Linked DNA regions of Caenorhabditis elegans. The protein of the gene in region 2 purifies or fractionates together with the protein of the main gene of each other region. This does not show direct contact. Each region holds a gene or a part of one and is shown on either strand. Other genes may lie near its edges.

Region 1 (7,138 bases), on a different chromosome or scaffold from region 2:
TTAATTATATGATCATTATTCGTCGAACAGTTCTTAACGTCATTTATTTTCTCTATTTTTCTCTATCTCGTTTGTAGCATTTCATAACTTTTTTCACAACAGATGTTCTACACCCCAAAGAAAACGGAACGCGTGGTTAGATAATTAGATAATTCTTGAAAATTCCCCCAAGCTCTCAAAAGTGTCTCGTGAGATTTTCAATTTCTTAGAAATAACACCTGAACGCTCTTGCTCTCACTCTTCCGCGAAAACATATTTATTCACTTTTCTTCCTGTTTTTGCAGTTCAATTCGAGAAATTCTTCAATGTTCATTCAACCGAATCGTCTCTCAAATTTAGCGACATTTGGTGGGCCAGACTCTAACCTTATTATCACCCATCTTCTCGCTTATTTCCCTCAAACCCTATAATTTGCGTGTGGAGACATCTGACTAACTACTTTGTACTTCTCCAGTCCTTTGAGTCTTGAATACACTTTTCAAATCAACTGCCAATTCATATGCAATCAGTGTACTTTTTGTATTTGGCTCATTCAGTCAGCCCACTCTTTTTTTTATTTTGTTCCTTTTTTCACGTAACCATGGAAATATGCTCGTAATCCGATCTCACGAGGATTTCATTTTTCACATTTTTTGGCATTTTATTTTCCTTCTCGAATATTTTATTATCCCCCAAATTCCGGTCTCGACTTCCGGAAACATTTTGAATTTATTTTGTAAATCACTTGATTATCAATATCTTTACCTCACATTCTCATTTTTCAACAGAATTTTTTAAAAACCTATATTTTTCTCCAGAACTCCTCGCCACTTCGTTTTGCATCAATACCCTCTTGATGCTTCTCAAAAACCAGTCGGATCATTGTCATCTGTTTTTGACACTTCGCACTTTTTCTATTCCAATGGCTATTAATTTTCTACCCACACACCCACCACAACCATAATCCGATAATCGAATTACTAAAAAACTGCTCGTAAAAACTAACGAGAGCACGGCGCTCCCGTGTCTTCTGGCCATCGTCCGTTAAACGGATACATTTATGACTTCCTTCGCTTTCGTCTTTTTCTTCGTTTTTTTTTCTTTTTTCTTGAAATCTTATCCATTCTGGCCAAATTCTTCAAATACATATAAACCTCTTTTTCCACATGATCAGGTAATACACTGGAACCGTGTTTTGGCTATTGGCTGTGTCAGATGATGAATTATGAATAAGGAATTATATTTATTGTGTGCCCCTCTCTTTCCATAGCCTTCCCAGTATTCTCTTGTTCCTCCCAAAATATCGGATGTCAACCTGTTTTCGTTTTCGAATTCGAGGAACTGTTTAATATTACTACCGGATATGTATTTGCGAACAATGCAAAAATCCCAAAAGTTCATTCCATGATAACAACAATTTACAAAAAAAAGTCTGAAGCAGCTGTAAATTGAAAATATTGAAGATTGATCTATTTTCGGATACTTTAAATAATGTAGTAAGAATGAATTAAATTATCTTAGAAACTCCTTTTTCGTATACCGTACTTCCTCTGAATCGACTAAAAATATAACTTTTGTTTAAACCTAATAGCAGGAATGCGAATTTCATAGAATTTTTGGGTTCTTTCCAAGAATGTCTTGCTAAAAAAAACCAAAAATCCACATACAAGTTTATTGGATATTTTCAAAATTTCTTATTTTTTAATCCAAGAATTCATGTTTTTTGTTGCTTGGTAAAATAAATGTATCGCATATCCATACGAACTAGTGCTGATCATCTTTGTTGTTAAATTCTAACTTGTTACACCAATTTCTTTACACCAATTCTGGGACTGTTTCAATCAATCAATATTCCATTTGACATGATTGACCTCGTTGACTCATAATCATGATCATCATCCTTTTATCTTGTAAGCATTTGACTTATTCGTCGTACTCCGTCCCCTTCGCGGCGGCGTCCTTCCTCTTCCGTTTGCCTCGTCTTTCGAATGCTCCACCTCTATTGACACATGCATGCTTGTCTTCACAACTCTCAACTTCTTCTTCTTCTTGTTCCCCTTCTTGCCTCCCTTTTTCAACCCTTGATTTTTGCATGTTCGGTTCTTCCCTTTTTCTACCTAATTTTCAATTCAAACCACACATGTTATGCTTGAAGAAAGAAGAATAAGAAGAACTTCTGTCTCTTCGCATTCTTTTGCTTATTCTCAGATTTCTTTTGGCGTTTTTTTTCTTCGTGCCTCACTTCACTCTGCCGACTGAGCTCCCCACATGAAACCATGACAACCAGCTCAATGTTTTCTCTGGTTTCTCATTTTCTTAACTTCCCCCAGCACTCAATATTTCATTTTCTGATAATCGGATGTGAAGAGGAGATTAGATGGTATGAGTAGGAGGAGCAGATGCTGACTCTCGTGCTCTACTTTCTCAGCTTCAACAAGGCTCACATTCCGTTCCAGCCACTTTTTCTCGTTTCTAGAATCTTTTTCTAGAATTCAATCATATTTTCATTGAAAAAACAGCTATTTATCTACGTCAGATTTTGTTCGTTTGCCTTTCTTCCTCCTTTTCTTTTTTATTCTACTTTTTCCAGTTTCTTAGATTTCAACCCTCGTTTTGTTTCAAACTCCAAATCCCAAAACATTTTAAAACTAAATCCTGGATCTTTGAAGTTTTAAATCAAAATAATGATGCCTCTTCAACGAATTCTCATATTCAATATTGCCATTTATTTATAGTCGGTGTTGAGTAGACGCACGAATAAGAATGAGAAGACCCGCTGCTCAAGAAAAAGCTCAAGAAAGCAGCCGAAAACAAACCTTTCCTTGACACCTAATTGAAAAATTCCCCGCATTTTCTTTTTTCTCGCTCGTGCCATCCACCATTTCATTTCGAAATGTTAGTGCTCCTGACGGCTTACCGGAAAACTATGGCGTGACCAGTGCCAGGAGCTGCAGAGCTGAAACGATTTTCACAAAAAAGAAAAAAGTCGGAAAAATGACGTGTGAGGGTGGAAAATGATTGAGGCATGAAGTAGTGGTGGACAGGGAGAGAGATAGAAAAAATGTGGTTCCGTCTTTTGAACACATTGTTTTGTATATCATCACAATTTCTTTCAATAAAAAATCTAAATCTAAATCAAAAAAATATTTTTTTAATCCAGAGAAATACGAAATCCGTAGAATTTTGATCGGTGGGTTAATCTCCACTCAATTATCTTATTGAAAATTCCGGTATTTAAAATCTACAGATACCCAAAAGCCTAGAGTTTTATCATTCCACTAAGACTGTTAGTCTGTTTTTTTCCAAACACATCCACATTTACTTCCTCCATTCACTCAACACATTTTCTCATTTTTCTGCCCTTTTTGTTATTTCCTTATTCCTTCAATTATTTTCTTCTCACCTTCTCTGCTCGCAGACCTCTACTCACGCACACAAAACCAATCATTTTTCAGACGCAAATTCCAACCAGGCTCTCTTACTCAAACCCACATATGCGAACTGCGTACTTTATTTTTGTCGGCGCCCTTCTAGGCGTCTCCTACGCCAAACATCACCATGCTGCTCGAGGTAACACTTACAGATTATTGGCCGTTAGTTCTTAAATTCCAATCTATTTTCAGCGCCAATAATCAATCTGCAAGGAGCCGAAGAGCTTGTGGCTGTCGTGCGAGAAGATGAGAACATTATCTCGACCGTGCCGGATTTTGCAATCCTCTCTGAAACCGGTGAGTTGGGAGATTAAAATAAATTGTTTTCAGCTCTTACGATTAAAAATCATGATTCATATAGATATGTTTATAATCAAGCCGGCTTGTTAGATCACAAGAAACTTTAATTAAATTTTATAGTTTTCCTTTTTCCTAATTGAAGGTGTGAAAACTAACAAACCTAATTAGAGAAATACAAAAATTCAGCTACTTCCTTTAAATAATCATGCTCATTAGTATTCATGGCATTTACATTCTCAATCTTCTTCTTTTCCCTCGTGTTTCCTTCCTGACATGCCCACCTCATTTGCACAAAAATCTCATCGAAAAAGCAATGCAGCCTCTCATTAATTGTTTCGTTTTCTTTTTTCATGTTTCTTCTTCTTTTCACGCATTTTCTCTGTTTTCTCTTTGATGATGAAGCATCGTTGTCGTTGTCAGCCTGGCTCCATACACACACACACAGGATTACGAGCCACCGACGACGACGACGACGATGTAGAACACGAAGGGATTGACGTGGAAAAGAAAGAGAAAAGAAGAGGGATTAACTATGACATGACATGACAGCCGATGATTCGAGAGAGCATGAATTGAAAAAGACGGGTGATGGAATGAAAGACAAGCTAGAAAAATTGGAATATCTATCCACAATTTGAAATTGAAACAAAAATAAAGCGAATACAATTTGAGGGAATTTTCAGGGCCAGTATGCAACTACCTCCTTACATCACAGAACAATGAGCCAGTGCCATTCGACATCCAGGTTGTTGATAAGTACACTGGAGCAGCTGTACTTCGAGTTAAGGTGAGACATGATGTCATAATGTATTTTTGGAGAATAGGCATCTAATGAAAATTCCAGTATTCATATTTTAATTCGTGTGTATCAGATAATTAGTGGAAAACCGTTTTGTAAGCTTAAAAATCAATGTGTTCTTAGAAGGAATTTTCATTAAACTTTATTCAATATTTCTAAAGAAAATTAATTCTTGATGAGTCACCATTAAAGTTCAAACATTTATTATTCAGGATGCTGCCACACTAGACTGCAAGAAGCCAGAATACAATCTTCAAGTTCAAGCTGTGAAATGCGATAACGACAATGTGAAGAGTGAAGGAGTGTCTCTGAAGATCCGTGTCAAGGACACCAACAATCATGCTCCAGAAATCGAAAACCCTTGGTACACATTCCACGTGGAAGAGGGAAAAGTTGTTGAGGAAGTTGGAGTACTGAAGGCATCTGACAAAGACTGTGGACATCCAAACGGAGAAATCTGTGAATATGAGATCACAAATGGACTTAAGGAACTTCCGTTCGCCATTAACAATCATGGAGTCCTTCGTACAACTCAGCCACTCAACTTTACTCAATCAAAATCATACATTCTCACTGTAGTCGCTATTGACTGCGCAATGAGGAAAAGCAAAAGTTCTCTGGTCACTGTTCACGTTGATGAGAAATGTGTTCAAGGAATCACTGCAATGAATGAGCGTGTCAACTATGCTCCAGGAGTTGGATCAAAGCTTCTCCTCCCAGACGTATCTCTTGAATTCTGTGAAAAGGAAACAATTTGTGAACCAAAGAGTGTGCAGTCAGTCATTGAACTTCGTGCTGGACACGTTACTCAAGGTTGTGCAAGAGACACTGTCTATGATAATCAGACAATTCAATCTTGTGGACTTTCAACTGCTACTGTCAAATTGCTGAACGAAGAAGCCCTTACCAGCTCGGCTGAGAATCAGATTCTTGCTGATCAAGGAATTGAGTTTGATGGAGCCAGAGGAGTGACTGTCTCTGATGAAAATCATCAAGGACTCATTCCGGATCACTTCACATTGAGCTTCTCCATGAAACATGCTGCAGGAACTAAGGACGAGCAAAGTAACAAGCAGAACATTCTTTGCGAAAGTGATGATTTCAGTGAGTTATCTCTTTTAGAAACAACCAGTGAATATGTGTTTTCAGACATGAACCGTCATCACTTCTCTGTCTACATTCGTCACTGCAAATTGGAGGTTGTTCTCCGCCGTGAAGCTGGAGCCACTTCAGACTTCCGTGCTGCTGAATGGCGTTGGTCAATGCCAGAAGTATGCGATAATGAGTGGCATTCATATTCACTTCTCTTCAATGGCATCGATGATGTTAATGTTATCGTCGATGGAAAGAGCTTTAAGGCTGACGAACGAAATCCTGAAATCCTCGACGATTGGCCGCTTCACAAGACCAAGGCAACAAAGACCAAACTTGTTGTAGGAGCGTGCTGGCACGGACGGCAACAGAAACTTGCACAGTTCTTCCGTGGACAACTTTCCTCTCTTTATCTTCTCTCTGGAGCTGTTGAAAGTGAACGTGCAATAAAATGCGCTCATACTTGCCCAGAACAACTTCAGTTCACCGGAGTTGATGAGCTTCTTGAAAGCCAAAGTGCAACATTCTCTCCAGATCAAACCTCTCTTACATTGAAGGCTGAAACATCAAAGCAAATTGGTCAAATGCTCAAGAGAGTTGCCTATGTTAACACTCAAGAGAAACCAGCTCCAGGACACCGTGTTTTCCTTGTTGAGACTGAGGTTACTTGCAAACAAGATGACAAGAAGATGAAGCTACCATCCAGCAAAGGATACGTTTTTGTTCAACAAGCCGCTGAACCAACTCTTTCAATCTCTGCTTCGTCTCAACTCAAAAGTAATCAACACATGGTTAAGGTTGGACAAGCTATGGTTCCAGATCTCACCATAACCATCAGCCAAAACAATGCTGGTAAGTTTTAAATGCAAATAATAAGAAACATTTCGGAATTTCATTTTCAGACGGAGAACTCGAAGATGTCACCCAATCCCACAAGATTGATTACTGTAAGATGCATTTGCAACCAGCACGTGATATGGATGTAGAGTACTTCTCATCACCGGCTTCACTCATTGCAGCTCTTAACATTGAGTTTGAGCATGACAAAGACGTAAGTCCCAGACAGATTCAAATCTGATTTCAATCTTCTAATTTCCTGCTCTTCAGGGCATCCTTCTTCGCGGAGAGGAAAGCGCTCAAGGGTACAAGGAAGTGCTCTCGAAGGTTCATTATTTCAACACTCGACCAGAATCATACGCCAAACGTGTCTACACCGTCCAGTGTGCCATGCTCAAGGGCCGAGTACTCAGCAATCAGTTGTTTGTCACGGTTAGTTTTTATGGATCTTCAAGTTTTTTCTATCTCACATTATGTCTTACGGCGTTGAAAGTTTGGAGCTCAACTATTCTAAGTCTATCAATTTCTAGTTTCATTGCTCAAGATCCTATAAAAACTTAAGGGCTCAAGAAACCGAGAATCTCTTCTCACATTCCACTGTAATTACTCATTCATTCATTCTCAGAAGAAATCTTTTTCACATTATGTACAAAATCCATTTATGTCCTTGCTCTTCTCAGCAGCATATAATGATTTGAGA
Region 2 (6,722 bases):
GACAAACTCTCGTAAATCGACATAATTTCGTAAATCGACATACTTTCGTAAATCGACAAAATCTCGTTAATCGACACATTCTAGTAACTTGACAAAATCTCGTAAATCTACAAAATCTCGGAACTCGACACAATTTCGTAAATCGACACGTTCTAGTAAATTGACAAAATCTCGTAAATCGAAAAGTCCTAGTAAATCGACAAACTCTCGTAAATCGACACAAAGTCGTAAATCGACAAACTCTCGTAAATCGACATAATTTCGTAAATCGACACAATGTCGTAAATCGACAAACTCTCGTAAATCGACATACTTTCGTAAATCGACACAATGTCGTAAATCGACCCAAACTCGTAAATCGACAAAATCTCGTAAATCGACAAAATCTCGTAAATCGACACAATATTAAACTTCCAGATAACAACAACACCCGTACCGACATCATCTACGTGAACGGTAGATTCCGTGTGGAAAAACAAAGTTCCCCGCAAGAAGCCCGTGCCACGTCACAAACAGAGTTCTGTATGCCTGACGTCATCTATTACCTGGGACTGTCTACAGTAGTCATTTGCTACCTGATTACCATCTCGACTACGGTAGTTTTCAAGTTTGGCGGTAGATTTTGACAATGTTCAACAAATTTTCAATTTTCAAATTTTCATTACTCCCTTGTATGGGTACTTCTACATGATTCTCAGTTTCCTTGAATATATTTTTTTCTAACTTTTAATAATTATCTGTAAATAAAGCTCTTGTTTTTATCATAATTTCCTGAAAATCGTATAGTTGAACTTTTAAAGTACACTTTGACTCACCGAGCAAATCCAGATGCCATTTTGTCATCTATTTTTCTGACTTTAAAATATCATCAAAATATGTTTGTCTAGTTTTTATACTATAGTTTATTTTGCGTTCTTTCTTTTGAATAACATATTGTTATAACTTTTTAGTGGAAATTTTAACAAAAAAAATTGCTGATTTACAGTTTAGGAGTGCTAAATTAGGTTTGCAAGACTTTGTGAATCTAATTTTAAATGTGTGTATATCTGTGTGGAGCAGAGTTATGAAAAACTGTTTTCACACAAAAATATAGCAAATTTTAAGCTCTACAAGTTGTTAGTTAACAACTTTTTATTATCTTTCCTCTTCGCTGAGGTACACGCGTCTAAGTGTGGTGAGTGCGAGAGCTTAGTGCGGCAGAGCCTTACTTACGACCGTTTATCTCATTGAGGAAAGGTGCTAGCAAATAATTCCAAACTAGTAATCTGTAGAAAATTTTAAGCTCTACAAGTTGTTAGTTGACAACTTTTTGGCAACTTTTTTCCCCGCAGAGATATGAGCGCCAAGCTGTGCAAAGTGCGAAAGGTCAGTGCGGCAGAGCCTTACTTACGACCGTTTATCTCATTGAGGAAAGATGCTAGCAAAAAATTTTTCACTAGTGAATTGTGGCAAATATGAAGCTCTACAAATTGCTAGTTAACAAATTTTTTGTAACTTTCTCCCTCGCAGAGAAATAAGCGCCAAGCTGTGCTGAGTTTGAAACCGCGCGAAGGGCAGAGCCTCATTTACGGCCGTTTATCTCATTGAGGAAGAGTGTTAGCAAAAAATTTTCCACTAGTGAATTGTAGGAAATTTTGAGCTCTACAAGTACTTCATTGACAACATTTTTGTAACTATTTCTCCCGCTGAGATACGTGCCTAGATATACGACCTGGAAATTGAAGCTGAATCTCGAATCTCTTCCCCTCTGGCAGAAAAAGTCGAATTTCCCTCCTTTTTCCTGCTATTTTGAGAAAAAAAAAATAATTACGCAAATGGCGCGAAACTTTTCTGACACTTTTCTGATCAAAAATTAGAGTTATGCAAAGAAACGAAGGAGCTATGTAGTGACGTCATTCTCGAATTTTAAATTTTTTACCAAACCTTCTAATTCTTGTTTTTCTCTCTATTTTTCCTAGTTTCTTTGTTTCTTGAATGTTCCCAAATAATATCGGCGGATTAATTGATAAGGATATCTATCAATGACATTGCCTCCTCTCTATAGAAATCTGTGTAGAAATAGTAAAAGTGCATTAAAAGATGATAAACGACCATCAGATTTCATCTTTTTCTATCTTTTTCATGGCGGAAATGTTGTTTACTTCTTTCGGCCTTGTTTTCCTGGTGTTTTTCCCTAATTTCGTGGGGTTCAAAAGAGTTCAAACCGGTCAAATGTCGCTTTTTTTGCAAAAAATATTGGTAGTAGCAAGTGCGCTCCATTGTCAATTTAGAGTTTTCACCATTTTTAGAGATGTTTTTTGTGCATTTTTGCAATGTTTTGAACTGAAAATTCAAGTTTTCAATTTATGAAATGTAGAAACTGTATTTTTCCATTGAAAAAAAGCTTTAAATCGACATTTTAACTGATTTTAAACATTTTCCCGGGGTACTGTACCTGCGAATGTGTGCAGCGGTGTTTGCGTACCCGCGCTTTCGTTTTTGATTTTTGAATTTCGTTTTTCACATTTTTCTTCGATTTTTCTCAATATTCCAGCTATTTTTCACGGATTTTTATCATTTTTTCGACAAAAGTAAGTAATTTTCTCTTTTTTTCCACTAAAATTCCCACAAAAATCGTAAAAATAGGGAGATTCAGGCGGGTTTTTTGATTTTTCACCGATTTTTTGCTATTTTCTTCATTTCTCAGCCGATTTTAGTCTTTTTTTTTGTCTAAATTATCAAATTTAACCTTAAAAATCTGCTAAACCATCTGATTCTTCGCTCACAGAACGATTTTCCCGTCATTTTCCAGTTTTTCCCAATTTCCGCCCGTAAAATTCCATTTATCCAATTCAAATTACGCCGAATTTGTTGCAATAGTCTTGGCACGGTGCCAATTGGATCTTTTCACGTCATTTTTGACCATTTTCAAGGTCTTTTCAATGCACTTTTAGGCTGCCTTTGTGAAAAAATAACGGATATTCGAAGTTTTTCGTGAAAAAAAGTGGAAAATCTAGGAAAAAATCGAGAAAAATAAGGTTTTTAAAAGATTTCAACAGACAAAACCACAAAATTTGCTCAAAAAAGCAATTAAAAATTGAAAAAATTACTTGAAAATATCGATTTTAAGCGATTTTGTTTTAAAAATACACACAATTTTTAGCGAAATCACACAAAAAATCGAGAAAATCCCAAAAATTTCGTTAAAAACCAACAAAATTAATGTGAAAATTGGTTTTTTCGCTTTAAAATTGATAAAAATTGATAAAAATTTATTTAAAAAATCACACTTCGGTCAATCTCTGGGCCATTTGCAGCAATTTAGCAATAAAAATAACGAATTTTCTGATGTTTTAGGCAGAATTTTGGAGATTTTTAGGGAAAATCTCAAAAAATAACCAAAAATCGCTTTAAAATTGATGAAAATTCCCATTTTCGCCAATTTCTGAACCATTTTTCCGCAATTTTGACCAGTAAATTGCAAAAAATATCGAAAAATTTTGGATTTTATAATCCAAAATTCTAAAATTTCAAGTAAAATTCAGCAAAATTTGGTGAAAAAAAATACAAAAAATTACAAAAAATTGGCTCAAAAATCAAATTTTTGCGAAAAAAATCGAATTTTAGCCCAATTTTCTTCGATTTCTTCCAAATTTTCACTCATTTTTCGCTTTTTTTCGCTCTTTCAATCAGAAATACCCCCTTAAAAATAAATATTTTCCAAAAAGTACACCGACAAACGATGAGCAAACAATCTGTGCCACGTGGGAATTGGTTTTTTTGTGTTTATTTTACAAAAAATGTCAATTTTTTGCTCAATTTTTCAATTAAAAATCGTAATAATTTGCTATTTTATAGTTTAAATTATTGATTTTTAGGTTTTTTTGGCGGGAAAAAAATAAATTTGAAAAAAAAAACGGCGGCGGATGGGGTACAACAACAACAACTCAAAGATCAAAAAACGAAACGCGAAAACATTTGAATTGACCCTTCGTTCTTTTTTCTATGTTTTTTTGCCATTAAAATTGAGTTTTTCGACGTTAAAATGCCGAAAATTCGATAAAAAACTGAAAAAATTGAGTTTTTTCCGGAATTTTAACCCCAAAAACCGAAAAAAAAATCCCGGAAAATCCCCCAGATTTCACTAAAATCTCCAGTTTTACCAACTTTTTTTTGTTAATTTAGGTACATTTTGTGGCCAAAATCAAAAAAAAAATGGTAAATAAACTACCAAAATGTGAAAAATTGGATATTAATTAAATATAAATTGAATTCTGGACAAAATTGAAATTTTCAATTGATTGAACCATTTTTCTATGTTTTTTTGCCATTAAAAATGAGTTTTTGGCGGTAAAATTCCGAAAATATAATTAAAAAATTAAAAAAATTATGTTTTCCCGGAAATTTAACCCCAAAAACCGAAAAAATTCTGGGAAAACTCCAGAAAAATGGGCAAAAATGTAGATTTTTTGGGCCATTTTTTGGCCATTTTTTCGCTTTAGATTTTAATTTTTTATCTGAAAAAAATTGGATTTTTATTCCCCAAATCTAATAATTTCCACAATTTTTTGACACCAAATCCTCTATAAAAATCGTTTTTTTTCATGAAATCTATTCAAAATCTGGCAAAAATTTTGATTTTTTCGACCAAAAACACCTCTAAAATGACCAAAAATCAACGATTTCATGAAAAATGACAAAGATTAGGTCATGTGATGCATTTTTTTTCGTTGTTTTATTACATGATATGGAATTGACAGTGTTCAGAATTTTTTTATTGGTCAAAATTTGGTTTTTCTTTGAAAAAATCGCAATTTATTCTGAATTTTTTGTCAGTTTTTGAACGCCGATTTTTGGCAAATTGCCGATTTTCTGGAAATTTTCAATTCCGGCAAATTGCCGATTTGCTGGAAATTTTCAATTCCGGCAATTTGCCGATTTGCCGGAAATTTTCAATTCCGGCAATTTTGCCGGATATCAATTCGCCGGATTTTTTGAGGGGATTTTTTAAATTACGCAAACCCACAATTTACCGAAACTTTCGGCAGTTGCCGTTTTTCCGGCAAATCGACTAGTTGCCGGTTTGCAGAATTTGCCAAAAATTTGGAAAACCGCAAATTGCCGACTTTGCTGTTTGCCGGAAATTTTCAGTTTCGGGAAATTGCCAGTTTGCCGGAAATTTCAATTCCGACAATTTGCCGATTTTCTGGAAATTTTCAATTCCGGCAATTTGCCGATTTTCTGGAAATTTTTAATTCCGGCAAATTGCCGATTTGCCAGAAATTTTCAATTCCGGCAAATTGCCGATTTGCTGGAAATTTTCAATTCCCGCAATTTGCCGATTTGCCGGAAATTTTCAATTTCTGCAATTTGCCGATTTTCTGGAAATTTTCAATTCCGGCAATTTTCCGATTTGCCGAAAATTTAAAATTTTTCAATTTGGGCAAATGCCAAATTTTCCGAAAATTTGAAAAATGGCAAATTGCCGATTTTGCCGGAAATTTCAATTCCAGCAAATTGCCGACTTTGCCAGAAATCTTTCTACCAACTCCGGCAAATACTGCCTAATCTGAAAATTTTTTAAAAAACTATCGAAAAGTGCCCAGTTTCAAAAATTCCTGAAAATTTGAAAATTCTAAGAAATTTGAGAGAAACATTTTTTTTTTCCAAAAATTCGAATTTCCCGCGCGCTCGCGAAACCTAACACCATTCTTTTTTTTTTCCTATTTTTGTTCAATCTATCAGATTCTCGTTGTTTACGTTGAGAAACATGTTCATCACATCACATCACACACACACACACACATTTCGTATTCCTCTCAGTTGGTTTTTTTCCCGCCTCGTCCTCCTCCTCTTCGTCTCAGCTGACCTCCATTTCGGTGTCCTTTGGTGCATCTCGGTGTCAGTTTCCAGTTGAAATACGCTGTGTCTCTACTCTCTCTCTCTCTCTCTCTCTCTCTCTCTCTCTCTCTCTCGGTTTTCTGCACGTGTGGTCTCTCTTGGTGTAGAGGCACCGGGCACCATCATTTTGCACTTTTTCTGTAGATTTTTTGGCTCAAAAATGGCACTGAAAATCATGAAGAATTGAGGAAAAGCTCAAAGTAAAATGAGAATTTTTAGCCTTTAAATGGGCGGAGCTTATGTAAGCGCCACCCACTTCTGGGCTCTCGTTATTTCTCGGCAATGTTCATGATCTCAACCAGGCGGCATATTCGGCAAACCCACATGTTTGAAATTTGCCGTGCTCGGCAAACTCGGTAAATTTGCCAATTTAAGAATAGCGGAGGCTGCAAAATGCATCATAGCTCATGTAGTGTCCTCATTTCGGTTTGATCTACGTAGATCTACAAAAAATGCAGGAGAAGAGGCGCAGAGTTCTCAACTGATTTCGCATGATTTCGCAAAAAGATAAATTCAATGCCCCTCTTTTTATTCGTAAATTGTCAAAATTCGAAATGCGATTTAAAATTTCCGGGAATTTTAGGGCATATTCTTATTAGAAATAACTATTACGGGAACAAAAAATTCCTAGAATGCGTATTACACAACATATTTGACGCGCAAGATATCTCGATGCGAAAACTACAGTAATTCTTTGGAAGATTACAGTAATGCTTGTGTCGATTTACCGGGCTCTCGATTTTGAAATAAATTAAAAAGAGCCCGTAAATTGACATAAGCACTACAGTAGTATTTTAAAGAGTTACTGTAGTTTTCGCGCTACGATATATTTTGCGCGTCAA
Region 3 (8,759 bases), on a different chromosome or scaffold from region 2:
AGTGCTCGTATGTCGCTGAATTTTTTGTAGGTACCTATTTGAAAGCTCTTTTTTCAAAATTCAAAAATTTAATTTTCAAGTTTAAATTTTGAGTAGCGCCAGTGGGGGATTTTGTCTAAATACACTTATTATGATCCAAAACTACCTGAGTAATTGCCACTTTTTGACAGTAAATAAAACATTTACAAAAAAAAAAAGTTTTATTATGATATTCGGTCACTTTGGGACCAAATGAATGGTTTTTCATAATTTCCCCACTGGCGCTACTCCACCTTTAAAACTGAGCGGAAATACTTTCCTTGTGAGCATAGCGGCAAAAAACCTAGTACCACATGGCAAAAAAAAACCCACTCATTGTTAGCCATGACAACTTCGATCTCATTCTCCAAATTGCCTTCTCCGTTCTCCTTGGTCGAGCAGCCAGTCAGCGGAATCTAAGCAAATAATGCCCAAAAATTCAATACATTCAATAGGCAAACCTTCAACTGATATTTGGTGTCCGATTGAAGCGTGCCATTTGCATAGATACACTTTGGATGGCCCGCGCGACTTTGTATCGTGCCACGGAAGTTTTCGTCAAACTTGATTTTCAATAGGAAATCTGTCTGCAATATTGAAGACGTTTTTTTCCTTTTGGGTGGTGACCTTCAAGGTTTTGGCCTGGGTTTTTAATCTTCCATTAAATGCCCTTCAAATTCGCTTTTTCGAGAGTTTAAGAGAGTTTCTAGGCCGAGGAACTTCTTGCAGCCAAATTTCTAAACTATTGTGTTTTTGCCAAAAACAATGAAACATTTTAGGTCATTTGTGACGTCATATTTTTTCCATGCAACTTTTTATTGGCTCCACACATCTTCCAAAAAGCCTAAGCCTGAGCCTAATCCAATGTCTAAGCTTAAGCCTAAGGTTCAGCCTAAGCCTACGCCTAAGCCCAAACCAAAGCCTAAGCCTAAGCCTAAGCTCAAGCCTAAGCCTAAGCCTAAAAAAAACCGGAAAATCCTAAGCCTAAATAGCGTCAGTAGCAAGCTAACGCTCGCCACTGACGCCAAACCTAAGTCTCGGCTTAAGCCAAAGCCTAAGCCTAAGCCTAAACCCATGATTAAGCCCAATCCTAAGCCTACGCCTAAGCTTGAACCTAAGCCTAAGCCTAAGCCTAAGCCTAAACCCAAGCCTAAAATTTCTAGGCCACCACTAATATTTTCAAAACTCGATTCTCAAATACTTCATTTTTTCAGGATATGAAAGTAGGACAGAAATGGGCAGGGTATATGGTATGGAGCAAATATCACAAGATGGCAGAAACATAGATACGGGGTGGGAGTGTTGGACTAGGTGACTTTTCTAGGCCATCCCTACCTTATCACACGCAATAGAAGTGTCCACAATGGCCACCGATCGAATCAGCGGTGGCAGCACCACAACCACCGACCAAATGATCCAGTGCAGAATCATAAATTTGTGGAGGGAAAAATCGATAACAGTAGTGAGGGTAATAGTAGTAATAATACAAATATATATGGAAAAATGAATACAAAAAGATGTGTGCGCTGGTTGGGGTGGTGGCGTAAGAATACAGGTGGGTGGGGGGTATAATTGGAGCGTGGCCGAGGAGGAGAATCGCAAAAAAAAGAAGGAAAGAAAGAGGATAGTAATGACATGTTACGGTAGAAGGACAACTACCTAATTATATGAAAGAGGGGGGGGGGGCGACGAGAAGAGGAAAAAGTCTTACGCAATTTGCTACTCGACTTTCAATTTCTGCTAGAAATCGAAAAAAAAATAGGAAACAAATTCCGACTCTATTCGATATCATCACTTCCGGGGCACGGCACAGGTCGGATCAGATTCAACGACGTCTCGCGATCCCGACCCTCTGATCTTACGGCCATCCCATTGTTCACATGATAGTCGATGAGCTCGGAGATGTTGCTGAACGTGCGATCGCGGGTTCGGACTCTCTGGAATTTTGAGAGGTTTGAAGGTTTGGCGGGGGGGGGGGGGGAGGGTCTTACGTTGTGATTGTCCAGTAGGATGAGATGTTTGTGCTCGTTTTCAGCGGTTCGGCCACTCAGCACGTACTTGCCGGGCGTGTGGTCGCTTTGTCTGCAAGGAACTGGACAAGTTTGAGCGGCCGACAGCTTGCGGGTCTTTTTTTAGAGAAGGGGGACTGTGAGGTGTCCGCTGCTTCAGACAATCTTAGCATCATGCAAACCTTGCATCTTTTGTATTTCAGGAAAAAAAACGCAGAATTTTTTTTGAACAAAAATTTCAGCCTAAAACAAAAATCTAAAAAAATTTTGGGAGGATGAACTTATTATACCAAATTTTTCCCTGGTCTTTCAAGAATTATTTAAAGTCCCGTGGCTTCTGAACATATTATCAAACAAATTACAGATATGAAATGTGACTGAAGCTTTAAGTCAGAAATATATAAAAAAAGGATTTTTCATACTATTTTTTCAGTCAAATTTGATTTTTTTAGACTTTCAGATTTTTCTACGAAGTCTGTTAAAATAGGCTTATATTAAAAAGCTATCCGATTTACTATTAGTAAAAAATTATAGCGACCGACATCTCGCAGGTTGTTAAAGAAAGGTGCATTGACCGGCTCACGCAACTTTGGCAGTTTATATCTCGGCTGGTTTTGGTTTTATTTAAAAAATTTCAATTGACGAAATATTTATCACTTTTTCTACTAAAAGTTTGCAGTTGAACACTTTTTGCTAGCAGCGATATTAACCGAGATATTAGCGGAAAAAGTTACATGAGAAACATGGTGCATCGACAAGAAATATCTCACAAAACTTTGGCAGGTTATATCTCGGCTGGTTGTGGTTTTATTAAAAAATTGTTAATTAACAAAATGTTTATCCTTTTTTCTACTACAACTTTGCAGTTCAACACTTTTTGCTAGCAGCGATATAAACTGAGATATGATTGGAAAAAGTTACATGAGAAACATGGTGCATCGACAAGAAATATCTCACAAAACTTTGGCAGGTTATATCTCGGCTGGTTGTGGTTTTATTGAAAAATTGTTAATTGACAAAATATTTATCCTTTTTTCTTCTACAACTTTGCAGATGAACACTTTTTGCTAGCAGCGATATAAACCGAGATATGATTGGAAAAAGTTACATGGAAGACATGATGCATTGATCAGCTATCATAGCTCATATTTTACTTATCTCAGGTTTTACCAAAAAATTGCCAATTATTAAAACATTAGCCTTTTTCTTCGAAAATCAAATTTTGCCCGAATTGCCGAAAATATAGATTTGATATTTTTTTGTAGATTTAGGAGCCTAAACATTTTTTAATTTTTTAAGTATTGACCGTTTGCTTTTAAAAATGACTAATCGAATACTGAAAACACAGTTAACTTTTTTTTCAATTTTCGAATTATAATTAGGTTTGAAAATTGCCGAAAATGTCGGCATTCAGTTGGAATTTTGGCAATTGCCGAAAATTTCCGATTCCCACGCGCCCCTGGTGTGAACCTAGTGAGCATGAAGCCAAACGTTTTAGAAATTCAGCAAAATTCTAGCTTTTTTCTATAAAAAATCTAAAAAACCTTACCGAACCAAAAAATCGCCTTCCGTCTTCAACAAAGCCTGTGCATCCTCTCTGGATAAATTTCCATGATACCAAACTTTCCCCACAACATCCTCAGTTACAGTAGGTGCTCGGCAATTCGACACAAATGACTGTCGATGCAGGGAACTTCGATGTCTCATCGGCGGCGCCGGCACCGTAAATCCATCGTTAGAAGTTGAAGCATTCGCCTGTGCATCAAAAGTGTTCACATTGATCGCAGTGGTAAGGACGTCGATGAGCTTGTGCACATCCTCGATGAACACCACGTGGCATCGACGATCCGTTCCATCCTTGTTTTTTGCAATGTAGCCGAACATTAGCTCCGTGTCCGTACCCTTTTGGCCTTGGGCTCCGAATGAGAAGAATGAGAAGGGATGACGTTGAATTAGACGACTTTGTTTTATGATTTTGATCATTTTCGAGGAAATGTTGATGTCTACGGGGAAGTTTTCTTTTTTCACTTCACCGATTACCTGAAAATAAGGATGGTTTACCTGGGCTTTTTCATCGACCCGTGAAGTGTCGGCTGCAATAATTTTAGTCGAAATTAGTGATAATAACTTTTCTATGAATAGCGGCTGACATCATTTAGCGCGATTTTTGATCGACCTGTAAGATGTCGGTTGCTTTAGTACATTCTATAGTGGCAGGCTTTTGGCTGAATTTTACTGGATATATAAGCTATCAAAATTTGAGCATGTCGATGCACCATGTAATTATCTCAGTTTATTTCGCTGCTATCAAAAAGTGTTAAAATGCAAAGTTGTAGTAGAAAAAACGATAAATATTTTGTCAATTGACACTTTTTCAAAAAAAAACCAAAACCAGCAGAGATATAAGTAGTCAAAGTTGAGTCAGATATTTCCAGTCGATGCACCATGTAACCTTTCTCTAATAACCTGTGAGATGTCGGTTGCTATAATTTTTTAGTCATTAATTTGGACAGCTTGTTAATTTGAAATAATTCTTGATGATATCGTAGCGCGGCCGACATTTCACGGGTCCTTTTTTTTAAACATTTTGCAAAGCTGGTCATGCATTTTTGGTAACACTTAATATCAAATTAATGAGAAAATGTTTTGTAAATTTTTACCATTAGCCATGCCCAGAAAATGGCAAGTTTTTTATTTTATTTTCTTTTGTTTTTTTAATTCACAAAAAAAAACTCACCCTACTAACAACTGGATTGATTTCTCGAGCCGCAGTCACGCCAACAGTAGCTGCAACGTGTTGTATACATTCTCTGAAAATTGAACAGTTACTTTATTACGTAGATTTTTTATATATTTGAGCTTGCAGATGTTACCTGCCTTCATGCCTGCCTACCGCCTGATTTCTAAATTTTTGAATAAGATTTTTTTTTGATTTTAAGCCATAAGAAAAACTAACGAAACAACTTGAACTCTCATCTCGGAAACCATCACGTTAATTGACTCGACTACTGGAACACTTCCGAGGTACTGAAAGACAATTTTATATTTTCGGGGAAAAAACTAATAAAAAACTCACAGTAGCCGACAGAGAAACCCCGCTGCTCCGCAGCTCCTCTGCAAATGAGGGCTCCACGTTGAGCATCGCCGCAAGTTGATTTTTCGACGGAATTTTTGATTATTTTTAGAAAAAATCTAACTCGAAATTCGTTACAACCGAAATTTTGCAAGATTGAGTGAATGAGGAATGACCGGGAGAGAAACGGAGACGCAGGCGGTGAGCGGAGTGGGAGAGAGAGCGCGCGAGACGGAGAGGCGCAGGCAGTGGTAGGGAGGAGACAGGGAAAGATTAGATTGGTGTTGACTGGGTGAGTCAGCATTCTAATAAGTTAAGTTGACTCATAACTTTGTTTTTTGATCAGAGGGGGGGGGGGGGGGCCGTGGCCTAGAAATATCATTGCCTACTTATTACGTCACTAATGGTCTAGGAAACCTTGATAGCTTTTTTGGAGAAGATATGACGTCATTGGTGGACTAGAAATCTTATTTTAGTTCTGGAAGAGAAATATTTTGACCGTGGAAGACAAATTAATGATGTGACCGGTGGCCTAGAAGTTTCAAATTATACCTGGGGAAATAAATGACGCCACTGGTGGCCTAGAAAACTTAAACTATGCCTGAAGACGTCACCGGTGACCTAGAAATTTAATTCTGGCGACGTCATAGAAATTTGAATTTTGATGAGAAATATAATTTTATTGGTTTTCTGAAAATTGAATTTTATTGATTTTTTGGCAACCGGGAAATTGGAAAATTTAATAAATTGAACAAATGCAATAAAATAAGCAGTTTTTCAACAGTCATTACTTTTTTCCGTGAACCGTTTTGATTTTAATTTGTAAATCTAGGTCGGAAAAGTCACACACACCGAGGAGCTAGGCTTCCCTCATCCTCCCTGGATCAGTCGGTAACTGCTTCGACTGGGGAGTGGGAGTGGGAGGGGTGGGATGAGTTCAATTCTTCTGGAATTCCATAATTTTTATTTTTGTTTTTTTGCGCCTACATATACCTGTGAAAATTGGAACTCGACACAAAAACCTCTCTAGCGCGGCTTAAATTTACTTCAATTCTTCCGGAATTCCATAATTTTTATTTTTGTTTTTTTGCGCCTACATATACCTGTGAAAATTGGAACTCGACACAAAAACCTCTCTAGCGCGGCTTAAATTTACTTCAATTCTTCCGGAATTCCATAATTTTTATTTTTGTTTTTTTGCGCCTACATATACCTGTGAAAATTGGAACTCGACACAAAAACCTCTCTAGCGCGGCTTAAATTTACTTTCCTGTCCCAAAAACTCATCTATAATATTTTTAAAAAATCTAGAATCCAAATCTATCAGATTTTTTTGAATTTTTGATTTTTTTCACATCGAGATTCGGAATCAGCGGAAAATTTGGAGTCAATTAAAAATATTTTCCAGATTTCGATACTCCACATTTAAAGGAGATCACCTGAAACGCCAGAATATGATACTTCATACTCTCCATCTTCTCGCTTTTGAAAATAATCAAAAAAAATAGTCGCCGTATTTATTGATATAGAAAAAATACCAACAAAATTGTAACTATTGATTAGCCATACAGGGTCTTTAAAGTCAACATTCATAGTGGGAGCTGGAAATAAAAATATATAATAACTTGTTAAAAGAATTTATTGTGGAGTTATAACACCTATAGACAATTAAAATCACCTGCTGCCTAAAGAGTATTTACCAGAAGCAAAGGTTTTCTGAATTTAGTGGAGTTTGTCCATTTACTTTTTTGCATGTTATTGAATTGAAATGATACATAGTGAAACTAGAGGTAAAATTATTTACTAGGTTTAGGCTTAGGCTCAGGATTAGGCTTAAGCTTAGGCTTAGTTTTAGGTTTAAGCTTAGGCTTAGAATTACCGATAACTGATAACTTTTGCAAATTTAGTTTCTGTAATATCGGCAATAGCCAAAATTGCCGGAAATTTCTGCGATTCGAATAAATAAATTGAAATAAAAATTAGTTCCTAAGATACATGTTATCTTTTTGCAGGAAAGTAGTAAACTCATGAAATGAGAAATTGCGATGAGGAAGGAAACATTCCTATGGTTCCTTAGACAATTTCTCACCTTACATTAGTATATAATATATAAATGATGAATTTGACTTTTTGAAATTCTCTTCAATAAATACATTTAGTTGTTTTTTTTTTAATGAGTAAAGTTGCAGAGTGTGGAATTTGCTATGAGGAATATGGTGAATATTGTTGGAAATTTTTCTGAAAGTTTTCATTTTTTTTGGAAATTTAGAGAGTTGGGTGTAATTACTGAAAATTATGTTTTAAAAAAATTATTTTAATGATTTTTCAAATTTTACAAAAAACTCATTTTTAAATCATTAGAGGTGAAGTAGCGCCAGTGGGAAGATTGTTAAGATCCACTCCTTTAATCCGAAAAGTACCGAATATCATAATAAAACTTTTCAAAAGTTTTTAGAAACTTTTTTATTTACTGTCAAAAAGTGACAACCACTCAGTTTTTGCCACTCATAATTTTGGAAGTCGACCAAAAAAAAAATTTGTTTTCCTACATTTTTTATACTTCAATTTTGTTTTAATTATTTGTATTGAAAAATTGTAGGGGTCGAAACATGCGACAATCCTGTCAGTTTTCAAAAATCTCTACTTACAAAATATAGGACACGCTCCAAAAATGGATGTTTTTACAGACAACGCCATCCGAATCCCTTGCATCGGCACATGCGGTCATACGTTATGTGACAGTTGTCGTGAGAAAATTAGAGATAAAAAATGTCCTCAGTGTAATCAGAAAGGCGCATTTGTTGTGAAAAATGTGAATAAACAATTTTGGGATTTAATTGTTTTTTCGCAATTTTTAAAACCCCAGGAAGTGGAAGTTGAGGAGACTGAAGAGGTTGGTTAGAACTTTTTTTTTGGATTTTTCGGTATTTCCGGGAGGTTATCCTTTGGGCCTAAAACTAGGCCTAAGAGTAGGCCTAAGCCTAAGCCTAAAACTAAGCCTTAGCCTAAAACTAAGCATGAGCCTGAGCCTAAGCCTAAGTCAAGCCTAAGCCTAAGTCTGCTGCTATCAAAAAGTGTTAAAATGCAAAGTTGTAGTAGAAAAAACGATAAATATTTTGTCAATTGACACTTTTTCAAAAAAAAACCAAAACCAGCAGAGATATAAGTAGTCAAAGTTGAGTCAGATATTTCCGGTCGATGCACCATGTAACCTTTCTCTAACAACCTGTGAGATGTCGGTTGCTATAATTTTTTAGTCATTAATTTGGACAGCTTGTTAATTTGAAATAATTCTTGAAGATATCGTAGCGCGGCCGACATTTCACGGGTCCTTTTTTTTTAACATTTTGCAAAGCTGGTCATGCATTTTTGGTAACACTTAATATCAAATTAATGAGAAAATGTTTTGTAAATTTTTACCATTAGCCATGCCCAGAAAATGGCAAGTTTTTTATTTTATTTTCTTTTGTTTTTTTAATTCACAAAAAAAAACTCACCCTACTAACAACTGGATTGATTTCTCGAGCCGCAGTCACGCCAACAGTAGCTGCAACGTGTTGTATACATTCTCTGAAAATTGAACAGTTACTTTATTACGTAGATTTTTTATATATTTGAGCTTGCGATTGTGTAATCAAAAATAAACATTTGAAGCATGA

The links.
Region 1: the proteins of daf-2 (region 2) and casy-1 purify together in Caenorhabditis elegans (co-purification; one study listed by BioGRID). This does not show direct contact.
Region 3: the proteins of daf-2 (region 2) and shc-1 purify together in Caenorhabditis elegans (affinity purification with western blotting, with the first as the bait; one study listed by BioGRID). This does not show direct contact.

Annotation. Positions count from the first base shown.
Region 1 is NC_003280.10:5,952,980-5,960,117, reverse strand, and holds the start of casy-1 (Secreted calsyntenin-1), read left to right. Parts: upstream 1-3,434; 5' UTR 3,435-3,473; coding exon 3,474-3,549; intron 3,550-3,602; coding exon 3,603-3,707; intron 3,708-4,393; coding exon 4,394-4,497; intron 4,498-4,721; coding exon 4,722-5,613; intron 5,614-5,658; coding exon 5,659-6,453; intron 6,454-6,503; coding exon 6,504-6,652; intron 6,653-6,708; coding exon 6,709-6,870; intron 6,871-7,138. UniProt on the Caenorhabditis elegans protein: Cell adhesion molecule involved in associative learning and memory.
Region 2 is NC_003281.10:3,036,630-3,043,351, reverse strand, and holds the start of daf-2 (Insulin-like receptor subunit beta), read left to right. Parts: upstream 1-2,505; 5' UTR 2,506-2,570; intron 2,571-5,808; exon of another isoform or gene 5,809-6,722. Other genes in the region: cutl-25 (ZP domain-containing protein), read left to right, coding at 418-626. UniProt on the Caenorhabditis elegans protein: Insulin receptor-like tyrosine kinase which regulates metabolism, controls longevity and prevents developmental arrest at the dauer stage.
Region 3 is NC_003279.8:967,884-976,642, forward strand, and holds shc-1 (SHC-transforming protein homolog 1), read right to left. Parts: upstream 5,251-8,759; 5' UTR 5,170-5,250; coding exon 5,104-5,169; intron 5,055-5,103; coding exon 4,984-5,054; exon of another isoform or gene 4,838-4,983; coding exon 4,765-4,837; intron 4,204-4,764; exon of another isoform or gene 4,068-4,203; coding exon 3,577-4,067; intron 2,101-3,576; coding exon 2,010-2,100; intron 1,956-2,009; coding exon 1,797-1,955; 3' UTR 1,450-1,796; coding exon of another isoform or gene 1,354-1,449; 3' UTR 1,205-1,353; downstream 1-1,204. Other genes in the region: cutl-20 (ZP domain-containing protein), read right to left, coding at 352-434, 480-605, 1,354-1,449. UniProt on the Caenorhabditis elegans protein: Scaffold protein which plays an important role in the activation of the JNK pathway composed of mlk-1, mek-1 and kgb-1; by bringing together mek-1 and mlk-1, promotes mlk-1-mediated phosphorylation and activation of mek-1 which in turn phosphorylates kgb-1.